4 linked regions of the Callithrix jacchus genome follow. The protein of the gene in region 1 purifies or fractionates together with the protein of each later gene. This does not show direct contact. Links are inferred from orthologs where the notes say so. Each region holds a gene or a part of one and is shown on either strand. Other genes may lie near its edges.

Region 1 (3,511 bases):
AGGAGAGGACATTCAGGGTCACAGTGGAGGCAGTGCTGGGTTCTGCCGTCTCTAGGACTTGTGTTTCACACATGCACCAACAGCCCTCCCAGCGCACAGCTCCCTGTCCCCACTGATAGCACCTATAACCCCCCTTCTCTTGCTCTCCTGATCACCTGTTTTCCTGGCAGTTCCCATAGAAGAGCAGCGTGGGGACTATGACCTGAACGCTGTGCGGCTCTGCTTCCAGGTGACAGTGCGGGATCCATCAGGCAGGCCCCTCCGCCTGCTGCCTGTCCTCTCTCATCCCATCTTTGACAACCGTGAGTGGCCAGGGAGCCACAGGAAGGGGAGAGGGGTGGGCCTGGATAAGGAGGAATGGGGTTGGGTTGAGTGTGACCTGCAAGAGGTGCTCTTGCTTCATTCAATCATCTTGCATATCCGTCTTCTTTTCTGTGCCCAGCTCTTTGTTGGCTGGGGAGAGAGGGCAAAGAAGACCCAGAGCTGTCCTTCAGGTATAGCTCCAGCCTGGAGTGAGTCTGATGGGAAATGGATATTTTCAGTATCATGTGATGAGAAGGTGGTGTGCCCACAACTGCGATAAAGATTCTAGGAAATGAACTCCTGGGAACAAGATAGTGTTCGGGAATGATGATTCAGTGACGGAAGCCCACAGATGAACTGGGCTGACTGATCAGCTGCAGTCTTTAATTAAGTAACCAGCAGGATGAATGGAAATGAAACAGTTCTGGAGCCCCAAGAATGGGAAACCAGGATAAACTGGGGGTCAGGAGGGAAGGGCTCATTGCCAAGGTGTGTATGGACTGGCCTTAAAGATTACTTGGGTCAGGGGGAGAAAGAGTGTGAGCAGATTGGCGCCCACTGGATTATAAGCTCCGGGAGAGCAGAGAGATTAGGTTTTGTACGTGGTTGGATTCTCCTTGCTTAGATCAGTGTTGAGCACACAGCAGGTAAATACTGGCTGAATCGGTTGGGGTATGGAGCCAGTAAGAAGGTCTGACTGGCTGCAAAAATGTAGGAGGCAAGTTCTGGGCAACCTTGACTCTGGACTGGGCAGAGAAGCTGCATCTCCTGCAGCCCACCCCAGGGACCTCAGGTGGCTCAGGTCGGCCTTCCTTGTTCCCGCTGCCTCAGGTGCTCCCAACACTGCCGAGCTCAAGATCTGCCGAGTGAACCGAAACTCTGGCAGCTGCCTCGGTGGGGATGAGATCTTCCTGCTGTGTGACAAGGTGCAGAAAGGTATACATCGGGAGGCAGGGTGGGCTCTTGGAAGCAAGGGGTGAAGCTGAGCAGAGATGGGGAGTGTCAGGAAACTGGCTTTGGATACTTCCTCCTGTGCCTGGGGGCCTCAGGTGGGCCTCGGGGCAAAGTATCTCAGGAGACAAGCATCAGAAGTTGAGGGGGGACTGCAGAGGGCGTGACATACTGACCACACTGCCATCCCATCTCCTGCAGAGGACATTGAGGTGTATTTCACGGGGCCAGGCTGGGAGGCCCGAGGCTCCTTTTCACAAGCTGATGTGCACCGCCAAGTGGCCATTGTGTTCCGGACCCCTCCCTACGCAGACCCCAGTCTGCAGGCTCCTGTTCGTGTGTTCATGCAGCTGCGGCGGCCTTCCGACCGGGAGCTCAGCGAGCCCATGGAATTCCAGTACCTGCCAGATACAGGTACACAGCTGGGGTGGCAGCAGCAGGGCAGCTGGGCTGTGTCCCATGAGAAAGGCCAAGACTGCATGTCTGGGGTTGTAGTTGAGAGCCGGAAGCTGGAGTCAGAGCTTGGGATTTATATGATAATTGGAATCCATTTCTTGCCTCATTTAATAATAATGTTACCTGACATTGAGCTAGTACTACACATCTGCCCCTATTCCAGGATTACCTGATTTTAATCTCATGAGCCTTTTGAGGTAGGAGATGGTGTCCAACTTGCCTGGCTTCATGTGGCTAGTGAGTAGCAGAGTCAGCGTTGGGACCCAGGCCATCTGGCTTCAAGGGTCCTTTTACCACACTGATTGTCTTGTCACTGCCATACAGCCCAGCCACATTTTGGTCGAGGTTTGAGTACCCACTTGGTACCAGGGCCTGTGCCAGGTATTGTGAATACAAAAAATGAATAAGACATACGTACTCCCTGCCCTTCAGAATCTTAGTCACTTGAGGAAGACAATGTGCAAAACAGATCCATAAGTCACAGAATGACATGGGAAATGGAGGAATGTGCAGAGAGCCATGGGAGCACGGTGGCCTCCGGGGAGCTGGCGACGCTGCGTGGAGTAGGTGGCATTGAAGCTGTAGAAAGACGCAGAAGTGCATTCTCCAGGCAGGTGACCCAGCACCTGGAAGGGAAAGGGTATTGGCAGCTGCACAGCCTGTTCAGGGGCATCTTTGGGATTTGAGCTGATGTTGAGCAGTAGCAGGCCCAGAGAGAGGGGGCCTGGTCAGGCTGAAGGCAGTAGGAAGCCATCGAAGGTTTCTAAGCAGAGAGGTGACAGGAGCAGATTTGGAAGCTGACTCAGGAGGCCACTTGTAGAGGATCAGAGATGGAGAGACTCAAAGCAGGGAGGCCATTCTGGAAGATGTTAACTGTAGCCCAGGAAGAGAAGATGTCTCGTGAACCCAGATCACGTTTTCACCACTGCCGTCAGTTGCCCTTCAGCTGTTTTGTGTCATTTCTTTTTTTTGAGAGAGATCTTCACTCTTGTCACCCCAGGCTGGAGTGAAATGGCGCCATCTCGGCTCACTGCAGCCTCTGCTTCCCGGGTTCAAGCAATTGTCCTGCCTCAGCCTCCCAAGTAGCTGGAATTACAGGCTTGTGCCACCAAGCCTGGCTAGATTTTGTATTTTTAGTAGAGACAGGGTTTCACCACATTGTGCAGGCTGGTCTCAGACTCCTGACCTCAGGTGATCTGCCCACCTCGGCCTCCCAAAGTGCTGGGATTACAGGCATGAGCCACTGTACCCAGCCTGTTTTGCATCTTATGGCCCAAACTCAGTCTCACCTCAGGACCTATGTCTAGCTGTTGCCTCTGCTTGGAAGGCCTGGCCCAAGGTTTTCTCTTGCTGTTTTTCTGGTTTTTGAGATGAAATTTAGCTCTTGTCACCCAGGCTGGAGTGCAGTGACATGATTTCGGTTTACCACAACCTCCACCTCCAGTGTTCAAATAATTCTCCTGCCTCAGCCTCTGAGTGGCTGGGACTACAGGCATGCACCACCACGCCTGGCTAATTTTGTATTTTTAGTAGAGATGGAGTTTCTCCATGTTGGTCAGGCTGGTCTCAAACTCCCAATCTAAGGGCATCCGCCCGACTCGCCCTCCCAAAGTGCTGGGATTACTGGTGTGAACCACTGCACCCAGCCCTGACCCAAGGTTTTCATGCAAGTGGCTCAGGCCAGTGCTTCCCTGACCACCTCTGGATTAGACTGTCCTCACCTCACTGGTATTGTTATATCACCGTGTCTTCCCTGGATCACCATCACTTGAGATTTTTTGGTTTGTAGGCCGGGTGTGGT
Region 2 (4,005 bases), on another chromosome or scaffold:
CACCTGTTCAGAGTCAAATACAGAAAAGTACAGTCATCTACATATGGCCGACCAATCACCATAGCTCAAGACCTCCCTACAGGTTCCGCTCTGTACTTCCCCTCACCCTATCCCTTGCACCCTGGTACAGCAGCAAAGGGAGACATACCACATCCATGTCTTCTCCTCCCCACTGTACTCCTGCGTGTGTGTAATTGGTGCATTCTCAATTATATCATCTCTCAGGTCTTCTGGTGCCACCAATGGTACCCGCATCCAGAACTGCACATAAACATTCACCCTTTTAGAACTCTCTTTTGAACTGATTGGGTCCAGAAAGTTTCCCTCAATTAAAAAAGTCTTCATCCAGACCTCGTTAATCCCTTTATGCTTTTCCCAATTTGTGATTTTGTAAGTGAACGTGTATCTTAGGTAAATATCCTTAGGTAAATATCTGCCTTATGTAAGTTTCTAAAATAATTACATTTACATGTTCTGAAATTCTCTTCATACCACTTTTAGATGGGCAGGGCAATCTGACCTTTTTTGGGGGGACAAGGTCTGGCTCTGTCACTGAGGCTGGAGTGCAGTGGTACAATTTCAGCTCACTGTAACCTCCGCCTCACAGGTTCAAGTCATCCTCCCACTTCAGCTTCCCAAGTAGCTGGGACTACAGGTGCATGACACCACATCTGGCTAATTTGCGTTGTGTTGTGTGGCTTTTTTTTTTTTTTTTGGTAGAGACGGGGTTTCACTATGTTGCCCAAGTTGGTCTTGAACTCCTGAGCTCAGCAATCTGCCCATCTCAGCCTCCCAAGGTGGGATTACAGGCATGAGCCACTGTGCCTGGCAATACTTATATTTAAATTCTGCCAAACATAACCTTCACTGAATGGCTAGGCACAAAAAGGCACTTAACACAATCTGACTACCATGATATGCAGCAGGAAAAGAGCCTCTCAGCTATACCATGGAAGAGTGGTGGCCAGTGTGGATGTGGTTGGTCAAAACTCTGGCCAGATTGGTGTTATCTTCCTGATTAAGGGGCAGCAGGAAAGCTGGAAGACCCAAATATGCACCAAAATTCAGCTCCTGTAACATGGCCTGAAATGGATATAAAGAGGAAAAGGTTGAGTTAACAAGCAAATAGCTTTCTTTTCTTTCTTTTTGAGACAAAGTTTTACTCTGTCACCCAGGCTGGAGTGCAGTGGCATAATCTTGACTCACTGCAGCCTCGACCTCCCCAAGCTCAATTCATCCTCCTACCTCAGCCTCCTGAGTAGCTGGGACCACAGGCATGCACCACCATGCCTGGCTAAGTTTTGTATTTTTTATAGATACGAAGTTTCACTATGCTGCCCAGGCTGGTCTCGAACTCCTGAGCTCCAGTGATCCTATAGCCTCAGCTTCCCATAGTGCTAGGATTATAGGTGTGCATCACTGCTCCCAGCCTAATAGCTTTCATTTCATTGTTTCAATTGATTTACCAAGTTACTGGGGGTGGGAGGGGGCCACTTTCCCCACCCAGCATGGTTACAGACCTAATCTTTAGAAAGATCCAGCAAAGAAGTCAGTCTTACCACCTCAGAGTTTCTGCGAATCTTCTCCACTTTTGAGTCTGGACGGATCCATGGAGAAAGCTTTCCCACAATTAGCGTATTCCAGTCTGCACTCCCCCACCCAAGAAAGACAAATACTGAATAAGGTTCAGCACTTTACTTGTTCAATTTTCAGTTTTTAGTAGGAACTCAAGTGTAGAAATGAGAGACAAAGGTTTTTTTCTACATAGATGTGGGATAGCCTGGTGCAGAATAGAGAAGCAAGGAGAAAACAAGTTATTTATATCCCAGGGACTAACAAATATATCCAAGTCAGAAAAGGAGGAGAATGAGGGCCCCGATAAAGCTTAAGTTGTTATTGCCTCTAATAATTAAGGGGCATATGGGATGGTCCCTACCCCTTCCTGACAGCAGTAGGTCTGATCGTGTCTGGGGGCCAGGTCGATTCTTAGCAGGTTCCTGAATGAACTCCCTCTTGAAACGCGGATGGAAGACGGGCATGCAGAGGAAATCAAACCTACAACCGCGACAGACCCAGAATCATGTAAAGAGAGCAGCAGTGCCAGAGAGCCAAGCAACTGGATTTAGGCTACCTTGATTTTTCCACAGCCCTTTCAGCTGCCATCAGTTCACCCCACTAGGCTGCTGAGTTCAGACCACCTTGGGGGATATCACTTCTGCTGTACTGTGCCTCAATTTCTCCCCAAAACACAGCCATGGAAAATGTAAGGAGAAAACGATGGAAATCCACAAGCAGAATTTTTTTCTCCTCAAGTGACAGTCTTTCCAGAACATCACATCCTGATTTGCCCCAGTTCCGCCCATGCCTCCCCCGTCAAAATTAGCCTCTTCTCTCCCTTGCCCCCTAAAACCTCCTCCCACTCCCAGACAATAATCGCGACCTCCAGGGCCCTTTTGAGTTTACCCAACAACTCCCCCAACTTTTGGACTCAGTGACCACAGGCCCCTCATAAGTTCTTTTCCTCACTTTCCTGGGTCCGAGGATCCTCCCCTCCAAAGAGTAATAGTCTCTCCCGCCCTCATCCTAGCCGACCCCCTCACCCCTGCTTCTCCGGGATGACTAGTTTGCCCTTCTCCGTCCCCGAGTTCGGACCCAGCATTCCGCTCGTGGAGATCCGGCCCTCACCCCTGCTTGGCCACAGCCCCTAGTGTGTCAGCTATTTCGGGGACGCAATTCAGGTCCCTCCCGCTCGACACGCGGCTCCCACCAGCACCCCCGACCGCCATCGCCGCCATCTTTTTCCTCGCGCTGTCCACGCCGGGATTCCTTGATAGTAGTAGCCAATCACAAAGCCGAACTGAAGCCCCCTCCCCCCCCAGAAGGCGGGACGAGTCGCCTTAACAACCAGAGCGTCTGCCACCGCTCCTGAACGGGAGAGAAGGAGAGTGGCTTTTCCCTCCAATCCGCCGGCTGCACAGTGGCGTACGGCGTGGCTCCTGCAGATCCACCAATCTCAGGGTCTGGTTTCTGATGAACTTCAATCTCCCAGAATGCTTAGTGCAGCGGCCGAATTCAGTTAAGAAACTACACCTCCCATGAAACCCTGCAGTATAACCTTGAAGTAATAGCAGAGAAGAAAACGCTCCTATCCCAGGGCCAGTGGCGCAATGGATAACGCGTCTGACTACGGATCAGAAGATTCCAGGTTCGACTCCTGGCTGGCTCGGTGAGGCCGCTCTCTTTTGCTACATGAGCATTTTCTAATTTCCCCTTCCTATCTCAGTTTGTAGCTTCTTTATTATCTTCACTTTCATTTTCAGGTCCTAGGTTGGTTGGGTTCCGCAGTCATCTAATGTCAGGTTTTCCCGTAACTACCTTCAGAGGTGTTTTTCTTGTGTCAATTGAGAAAACTGGGTTAATGGCTGGTGCTATTAAAATGGGCTTTGTCACTTTACAATGCTACATATTAAAATAAACTGTGGTAACTCAGCTACTTCCTAGTGATTCTGTTTCAAACACAAAAGATGTAAATAAACGCCTAAACACACACCTCAAGATGGAGAAAAGGAATTCACGGTAAGGAATTTCATTGGGTAGCAGTCATGAAATTGCCTGGCGTGGAGACCCGAGAGAATCTACATTTTCCCATGTCAGTAGCTGCTAGAGATGGAAAGGAAGGAAGCAAGGAAAGGCATAGGGAGGTAAATGGGAACTCCTGAAGGAAGAGGGCTCACAGGTGTTGAGGGCCTGGCAGCAAGGATAAAGAAGAGAACACGATACAAGAGTCCGCCCCACGCAGGCGCCGCTGGCAGAACTTAGGGATCGACTGGCAGGGAACCCTGTGAAAGAAAAGCCAGGGGTGATGCCTACGACTCTGTCTATGCAGTGAGCAAGAAATGAGAGAAGCGGGTTTAGGAAGTCAGGGTTTGGGTTTGGTCATGCTGAATTGAACGTCTAGGGGGCGCTGTGTAATAGAAAGTTGGATGAACAGTGATCTGAACCATG
Region 3 (4,043 bases), on another chromosome or scaffold:
CCAACATACTGGGATTACAGGTGTGGGCTACCGTGCCCAATCATCTTCCTTTCTTAAAATTGACTGAATAAACAGACATGCTATAGCAGGGTAAATGGCACCAAATGAATTTGTGACTTACTTAGATTCGTAAAGACTGTTACTGCACTGAAAGAGAATACCCAATCTCAAATTCTTCATTCTCTGTTTCTTTTATTAAAGTGTCATTCTGGTGACCCTCTTCTAGTTGACCTTTTGTAGAACAGCAGGCAAGGTCAATAACGAAAGTACTAAAATTAAAGAAAAAATTGGCTTCTCCCTATGGAAACTGATTCAAGATTTAATAACGTGTGGTGCCCCTAAAAGCTGCAACTATTACATGATCATCTCCAAATCCACTTTAACTCAACTAGGAGGCCATTATCAAAACATAACTCACTGGTACAAAGCAGAGATTAAGTAGCTAAGAATGTTCCTAGGCTGAAGTCTAACTGAGAGTAAAAGGGATGATCTCACAATGTCTCTTTATGTTTTGTAAATCACATTATTCAATAAATCTGACACAAGTGTGAGGATAAGGATTAAGAGTCAACCCTCGTCTGGGCGCAATGGCTCACGCCTGTAGTCCCAGAACTTTGGGAAGCCAAGGCGGTCAGGCCACAAGGATTGAGACCATCCTGATCAACATGGTGAAACCCAGTCTCTACTAAAAATACAAAAATTAGTTGGGCGTGGTCGTCCGCACCTGTAGTCTCAGCTACTCCGGAGGTTGCGGCAGAAGAATCGCTTAAACCCAGGAAGCAGAGGTTGCAGTGAGCCGAGATCATGCCACTGCACTCCAGCCTGGGTGACAGATCAAAACTAGGTCTCAAAAAAAAAAAAAAAAAAAAAAATCATCCCTCTAAGTAGAAAAACAAAAATAAGCAGTACTAGTTTTCTGACTTAAGTCTAGTAACTTTCACTTACTTCTAAAGTCCAATAAAACTTCAAGGTCTCTTCTTTATATTTAGAATTTTAACACTGGGCAGAAATCCAAGAACCTTCTTCAGGCTCAATAAAATTTTGTTAATGATACCCTTGAACTTTAATTAGGTGTTTTTGAAAACACTAATGCAAAATAAAGTTTTAGTAAATTTGACTAGTTTCTGAAGAAGTATTCCCTCTAAATGGGGCACTTTAAAAGCCTAAAATACAATTAAGTTAGTATCCATTTTTATTTGGATTTGTTATGGTATTTTAGGCAAATATACAAAATAACTATTTTTTAAGCAAAGGAGTAAGATTGGAGGGACAAGTCACAATACTTCTGAAATAGCAAGACTTGACTGCAAATAATATCCATGTCCCTAAGGCTACCTGTTAAAGTCTACGCATTCCATCACTCTTTAGTTGTAACCACAAAGGCTGGTTTTACACCTAGGATATACAAGAAGCATCAGATTAAAAGCATCAAATATCAGACTATACAAGTTTGCCATAGATAAGCATAGCAAAAAGAAAAGCGTGATACAAAGTTAGAGGTTCCAAGGGGTTTAAACACACCCACAAAATCCAATTTTTGCTCACACTGTGCTTCAACCTAAAACTGATGGGTAATCACAAATCCTGACTTACCACTGACTTATTCCCTACCTCCACCCTTTTTATCTCCTGAATTTCTCAACTGATCTCATCACTTCTTAAGGGTCTTTGCAACTCTCCACGGCCTTTCCTTTCCCAGAAAATGATACAAAGCACCTGGCCTCCACATTTTACATTCCCACAATTTAGCTTCAAATTTTGTTTTGCTTACTCGTTAGACATTCATTTTGCCCCCAATCTCCTGTACCCGTTTCCCTGACCAATCTTCCTCTTACTTTTCATCACCTTGCCCTTCCTACAGTATTTAGCTTCTCCTTTCAAAGTAGAGTATTTATCCTTCTCCCTGACATTTGTAATTCTAGTTTACTGTAAACATGCTCTTCCCCTCCCAGGGACTGTCATTATAGCCCTACGTTTTCATTCCCAGTCGTTATCTTCTTTAGTGAGGCCTCTTCCCTTCCAGAGTTTGTCAACATTAGTTTGGCCAAGCTGGGATTCCACCTTCAAGGCAAAGGATATTCTCCCTGCTCATTCTACAAAAGTATAAGCCTGTCACCAGCCCTAGCGTTCCCTCCTCCACCCTTAAATCCATCTATATCCAGCCCTGCCCGTTCCCCTCTACCCGTAAGATCTGTCTGCTCTCTATCCCGCACTCCCCCTCCCCAGTCCTGAATGCACCTCCTCCCCGGACCTTACTCGTACCCTGACACAGGAAAGGCCCAGGCAGCGGCCTCACGGCGCTTCTCCACAGAGCTCCCTCCGCTCTTCAGTAACTGTCCCCACGCCCCTTTCCCTCCAGGGCCCCGTGCGCAGCCAGGAGCCCCTTCCTCGATTAAGCTCCCGCTGTCACTTGGCCTCTCATCCACAAGATGGCGGAGCTGCTGCCCCCACCCCTGGGTTCGCTCCGCAATCCCCAGCCTCCTTTCCGGAGCTCCCATCCCGTCCCTCCAGCCGCCCTGCCGCCAGCCTCGGCCCAGGGTCCCGCTGCCCGGTCCGGCAGTAGGCTGGCGGCCCAGGCCCGAGCTCCAAAACGCCGCCAACGCCACCGCCTCCGCCATTCCCCCGCCTGCCCCGTCTCCTCACCATAAACTTGAGTGCTTTCTCTTGCAGCACCGCCTCGGCTGAGTCCATAATCGCCGAGGCCACTGGGTCCGCTCTCCGCCGGGGCCGCCCCTTTGGTGCCAGGCCGCAGCCAACGCAGCGCCCGGATCCCGCCTCCTCTTCCTTCCCCCCGCCCTCTCTTACCTCTCAGGCACAGGCTGATGGGGCCAAGAAGAATCAGCTTCTCAGTGGGCAGGCGAAAGCCCACTGGCTCACGGGATTAGTAGTTCTAAAGCTTCCCGAAGCAAAAACTGAGGCTATGCCGTGAACCGCAACTCCCACAGTTCACTGCGGTAGCGTTGCGGTTGCCGACGAGTCAGATTTAGATAACTTGCCCTCAAGCAGAGGAAATCGGCTGATGGGAATTGTAGTTTACAGCCTCTAAGGACGAAAAGGGGAGGGGCATGGGTGTCTCCGTGGTTACCGAGGGACGCCAGTAGCGGTTTGCCGGGCGTTTGATATCAAGATGGCGACCAACGCCTCACCTGTAGCCTAAATGCTAAGTAAAACTGTGAGAAGAATCAGGGGTCCTAGAGCCTGCCTAACTGTGGTTTTAGAGAGCTGAACGTCCCCAGATTTCATATATCTGGCGTCTGCGGAAGATTTGCGACCCAGAGGAGCTGGGCCAGTGGGCACCTGGCAGCAGCTCAAACACCAATGCAGCATTTCAAGGTCCTCCTAAGCTATTGCCACCCACACGTCTCCCGAGGAATCTTTTCTCTCCCACAGCATTTCAGGGCAAATAGAACTCGGCTCAGGAAATTCTTGGCGTTTAGAGCTCAAAAAGCACATAGCTTGTTATTGCTAACCCTGGGATGTAAGCCCTGCACTAAGGGTCAAACAGGTTCTTACAAAAGCCCTTTAACAGTGGAATATAATGGCCTCCAGCAAATAAAGCATATAAGTATTTTCTTTGGCCTTAAAAGATATAATATGAGTTTATTTTGGAAATTGGGTCTACCTTAGGAGGAAAAACTCTAGGGTTTAGTTGAAAGTGATTTAGGGCTGGGCACGGTGGCTCATGCCTGTAATCCCAGCACTTTGGGAGGCCGAGGCGAGTGGATCACCTGAGGTAAGGTGTTTGACACCAGCCTGGCCAACTCGGAGAAATGCCAGTCTCTACTAAAAATATAAAAATTAGCTGGGCTTGGTGGCACGCTCCTGTAATCCAAGCTACTCAGGAGGCTGAGGCATGAGAATTGCTTGAACTTGGGAGGCGGAAGTTGCTGTGTGTCGAGATCATGCCACTGCACTCCAGCCTGGGTGACAGAGCGAGACTCTGTCAAAAGAAAGAAAAAGAAAAAGAAAAGGGAGTTAGATTGTCACAGTCTTGACCAAAATATCTTAATTTATAAAATTAATGAACTAAGAAAATACTTTTT
Region 4 (4,216 bases), on another chromosome or scaffold:
GTTACCCAGGCTGGAGTGTAATGGCGGCATCTCGGCTCACCGCAACCTCCACCTCCTGGGTTCAGGCAATTCTCCTGCCTCAGCCTCCTGAGGAGCTGGGATTACAGGCACGCGCCACCATGCCCAGCTAATTTTTTATATTTTTAGTAGAGGTGGGGTTTCACCATGTTGACCGGGATGACCTCATGATCCACCCGCCTCGGGCTCCCAAAGTGCTGGGATTACAGCGTGAGCCACCGCGCCCAGCGGTCTGCATTTTCTAAATACGAATCAGGTTCATTAAAAAGTCAAGGGTTATCTGAGCAGTGAGATAATGGCACCTTTTCAGATTTTGTCTCTATACCTGTTCGTATTAAACAAACACAAATATTAATAACATATTTTTAAAATCTTAAAAAAAATTAAAAACCCTGATAGTATCAGCACATACACAGAAATCACTCCATTATGCAAAGTTCATCCTCTATTATGAAAGGCAAAATATGTACATTTCCTATGAACCACTGACTTCAATTCTGTAAAACTTGCATACCAAGTAGACAAGGTGGAAAAGAAAAAGGCAGAACATTTCATGTATTTCAATTCAGACGCATACAAATGTCAAGTCTTACAAGTACGTGTCAGCTTTCGTATATAATGTCTTCTGCATTTGCCTGTACCAGCCAATGGGCTAGCCGGTCGGCGTTTGGTGCTTGAAGTGATGGAACGGAGGACGGGGTTAAATCCACTACCCTCTCCCCACGCACTCTAGTAATTACTCTATTTCCACGTCATGTTTCCGGGTGCATGTGTCCCTGCTCACGCAGAAACTGAAGTTCAAAGCAGGCGGAGTCACCCAGGTTCTTTTTGTTGTCCCCAGAACCGAATTTAGGAGTTGGGTCCCCAGAGGATCTGAAGACACCTGGGGGACTGTCTAACTGGCTGATTCTCACGTGGTAAGAGGCTCTCAACCTCGCCACCACGTGGTGCCCAGGGCCGGGAAAAGGGAGAGCGGGCAGTAGGGAGCTGTATCAGGGGCATTTAAAGTGCCTTGACGTCACACACTGCCAGGAACTCAGCTGAGTTTTCAGCAGGACATTCCGGTCATCTTCCCTCCCTCCCCCGGGCTTCTGTGCCCAAGCCTTGAGCTCTTCCCTCGCTGTGGCGGAGGGAGGAGCACTAAACTGTCGGAACAGCCAACACAGGGGCGTATCAGTCTTCTCTTTTCCCCGCCCTTTCTCCTAGCGCCTCCTCTCATTGGCTAGTGGGCGTGGCTTCTGCTGTACCACACACGCACTGAGACCTCTGGATGGCCGAGCGAGCTGGCCGATCATGAATTATGCATGACGGCATGCCGGGCCCGGCCGGGGCTGGACGGGGATTGGCTGAAAGGGCTGTAATTCAGTGGTTTCCGGAGCTGCGGCGGCGTAGACTGGGAGGGGGAGCCAGGGGTTCCGACGTCGCAGCCAGAGAACAAGCCCCAACCGGATCCTGGACCAGCAACCCTGCTTGGCGCTGTCTCTCCTCGTCGGCAAGAAGAGGCCCTTTGGCCTGAGGGAGCCCCGCCGCCCGCCCCTGGCTCACGCGCAGCCCCGGCCTCTCGGCCTCCGCGGGAGAAACAGGTGAAGGGGGTGCAGGGTGGGGCCGTCGGGGAAGCCTGGGGACCCGGGGGCGCCGTAGGGCCCGGGGGCCTTTGGGACGTTGGAGAGGTTGTATGGACGCTGCATTGGGGCGGGGAGAGATGAGACGCGGAGGGTCGCCCTGAGGGAAGACTCCCCTGGATGACTGGAGCGGGCCTCGGAAGGGACTGGGGACTCTGGAGGGAAGTTTCGTTCTTCAGAGAAACAGTAAGAACGCGCTCGAGAGGGAACCGTGGGGCGAGAGCGCACTCGGCTGCGGCGGCAGGCGTGAGGGACTGTCCCCCGATTTCCTGCTCCTTGGGGCCCTGGGGACGTTCCGGCCACCGGAGCGACTGTCACACTGGCGGGGATCACCGGCTCTGGTGGGTGTCGGAAAGCGCTTCCTTTCCGCTCGGCCGGCGGCTCCCGCTGAGCCACTTCCTCCAGTTGCCGGGTTCCCGCTCCTTCAGGAGCCAGCTATACCCCTCTGGAGGCAGGAATAGGTGTCTGTCCCCTGCAGTCTCACGGACTGGCTGGTCTTGGGTAGGTTTATTGCATAAGAATCAAGTTCCCTCTAAGGAAATTGACAGACTGGTACTCTTCCTAAATTCCCTCCCATCTTTTTCTAGGTTAAGCTATACTCCCCTCACTCCACTCCCCCGCCTTGTAAAAAAGAGAGGAAAAAGAAAGAAGACAAAATAAAATCCCAATTAACCCGTCCAGCCAGCTGTAGAGAGAAATAAACCTCTTGACATTGTTCTTTTCCAAGCACCTGGTAAAGTCGGCCAGAAGATAAATAATTGAGCCATTGCCTTTACTGGATTGTGTTGTTGCTTAATTGCATAGGACAGAATGAACCAATCGAGAGTGGGAGTTTTCTGTCTCAGAGCCAAGATCTTGGGTAAATGCAGAGGAGAGTGAAACAAAGGCTGGCTTTGAAAAAAACCATGTGTGCAAACTTTACCTGCGTTTGGGGGTGTGTGTTTGCACTGAAGTTAAAAGGATTGAGACCGTCACCCAAGTTGGTATTTCCATGTTTGGTACACATCACTCTGCTATATCAGGTCGTTGTATGTGTGGTGACAAAATCAGTGGTTAGTCTTTTTTTTTTTTTTTTTGGAAATGTGTATAGTGTGTACCTGCTGGCTTTATTGTATATGCAACTAAAGGTTTATGTAGTCTGTGTATGGATTGTAAATTTTTGGCTGGCTGTGCTAATAAAACATTGGCTTGAATAAAGCAAAGCAGAAAATGATCTCAATCTTTTATATGTGGCTTTAGATTGTGTTATGACTTAATTCAGCCAGTTTTTTTTATTTTATATCAAATATATCTATGTTCTCTGAGTCAGCACATTTATTTCTTTATTACATGTTCCAGACTGGAGTGCTAGCCCAGTTTTTGTTCAGTTTGCACAGTGGGATGGGGGAAAGAAGTCTGGAATTAAATGTTTTAGAGGTTGGAGCCTTGATTTTAGTCTGTATATTAGCACACCATCACAAAGAACCATTGGTAAATTAAAGAATCTTTTGTTTTTTATGTAGTTCATTTGGGAAGAATAATCACTTAGAAACACCCACAGTTCCAGGCATGGTGGTGCACACCTCTGATCCCAGCTACTTGAAGGCTGAGGCTGGAGGATTCCTTGAGTCCAGGAGTTGAGTCTGGTCTGGGCAACATAGTGAGAGGCCAGGAGTTGGGTCTAGAGTCTAGTCTGGGCAACATAATGAGAACTTGTCTCTAAGAAAGAAAGAAAAAGGAAAGGAGGAAGAAAGGAAAAAAAAATACCCACAGCACAGTTATGAATTGACCTACAAAGGACTTGAGGTAGGTAGTTCACATAACAATTACCTTAATATTATAGATAAGAAAATTGAGGCCAAAGAATCAAGACACTTGCCCAAGGTAGCAGAGTGCCATAGTGGTGGCATTTGTGCCTCCTGCAATTTTTTTCTTTTCTTTTAATTTTTTTTCAAGAGAAAGTCTTACTCTGATGCCAGGCTGGAGTGCAGTGGCACGATCTTGGTTCACTGCAACCTCCACCTCCTGGGTTCAAGCGATCCTCCTGCCTCAGCCTCCTTAGTAGCTGGGACTACAGGCACGTGCCACCATGCCCAACTCATTTTTGTATTTTTAGTGGAGACAGGGTTTCACCATGTTGGCCAGAGTGATCTCGATCTGTTGACCTCGTGATCCACCTGCCTCGGCCTCCCAAATGCTGGGATTACAGGCATTAGCCACCGCACCGGCCTTTTTTTATTGTTATTATTTTATTTTATTAATTTTTTTTTTTTTTACACAGAGTCTTGCACTGTCACCCAGGCTGGAGTGCAGTGGCTCGATCTCTGCTCACTGCATCCGCCACTTCCCAGCTTCCAGTGATTCTCCTGCCTCAGCCTCCCGAGTAGCTGGGGTTACAGGTGCACCCCACCACGCCTGGCTAATTTTTGTATTTTTAGTAGAGATGGGATTTCCCTACATTGGCCAGGCTGGTCTTGAACTCCTGACATCGTGATCTGCCTGCCTTGGCCTCCCAAAGTGCTGGGATTACAGGCATGAGCCACTGCAACTGGCAAGTAACAGTGGAATTCTAGTTTCTTTTTTTTTTTATATGGGGT

The links. The genes of interacting proteins can lie anywhere in the genome.
Region 2: the proteins of RELA (region 1) and PRMT5 purify together in Homo sapiens (affinity purification with western blotting; 3 studies listed by BioGRID). This does not show direct contact. The link is inferred for Callithrix jacchus from reciprocal best matches to the Homo sapiens genes RELA and PRMT5.
Region 3: the proteins of RELA (region 1) and BTRC purify together in Homo sapiens (affinity purification with mass spectrometry; 3 studies listed by BioGRID and IntAct, counting the BioPlex papers as one, with this or other methods). This does not show direct contact. The link is inferred for Callithrix jacchus from reciprocal best matches to the Homo sapiens genes RELA and BTRC.
Region 4: the proteins of RELA (region 1) and STAT3 purify together in Homo sapiens (affinity purification with western blotting; 5 studies listed by BioGRID and IntAct, with this or other methods). This does not show direct contact. The link is inferred for Callithrix jacchus from reciprocal best matches to the Homo sapiens genes RELA and STAT3.

What each region holds. Positions count from the first base shown.
Region 1 is NC_133511.1:122,748,434-122,751,944, reverse strand, and holds part of RELA (transcription factor p65), read left to right. Parts: intron 1-170; coding exon 171-302; intron 303-1,134; coding exon 1,135-1,239; intron 1,240-1,455; coding exon 1,456-1,668; intron 1,669-3,511. UniProt on the Homo sapiens protein: NF-kappa-B is a pleiotropic transcription factor present in almost all cell types and is the endpoint of a series of signal transduction events that are initiated by a vast array of stimuli related to many biological processes such as inflammation, immunity, differentiation, cell growth, tumorigenesis and apoptosis.
Region 2 is NC_133509.1:57,297,875-57,301,879, forward strand, and holds the start of PRMT5 (protein arginine N-methyltransferase 5), read right to left. Parts: upstream 2,811-4,005; 5' UTR 2,796-2,810; coding exon 2,686-2,795; exon of another isoform or gene 2,660-2,685; coding exon of another isoform or gene 2,601-2,659; intron 2,056-2,600; coding exon 1,937-2,055; intron 1,781-1,936; exon of another isoform or gene 1,646-1,780; coding exon 1,560-1,645; intron 1,084-1,559; coding exon 949-1,083; intron 262-948; coding exon 149-261; intron 4-148; coding exon 1-3. UniProt on the Homo sapiens protein: Arginine methyltransferase that can both catalyze the formation of omega-N monomethylarginine (MMA) and symmetrical dimethylarginine (sDMA), with a preference for the formation of MMA.
Region 3 is NC_133513.1:94,307,605-94,311,647, reverse strand, and holds the start of BTRC (F-box/WD repeat-containing protein 1A), read right to left. Parts: upstream 2,811-4,043; 5' UTR 2,692-2,810; coding exon 2,644-2,691; intron 1-2,643. UniProt on the Homo sapiens protein: Substrate recognition component of a SCF (SKP1-CUL1-F-box protein) E3 ubiquitin-protein ligase complex which mediates the ubiquitination and subsequent proteasomal degradation of target proteins. Recognizes and binds to phosphorylated target proteins.
Region 4 is NC_133506.1:121,807,221-121,811,436, reverse strand, and holds the start of STAT3 (signal transducer and activator of transcription 3), read left to right. Parts: upstream 1-1,406; 5' UTR 1,407-1,601; intron 1,602-4,216. UniProt on the Homo sapiens protein: Signal transducer and transcription activator that mediates cellular responses to interleukins, KITLG/SCF, LEP and other growth factors. Once activated, recruits coactivators, such as NCOA1 or MED1, to the promoter region of the target gene.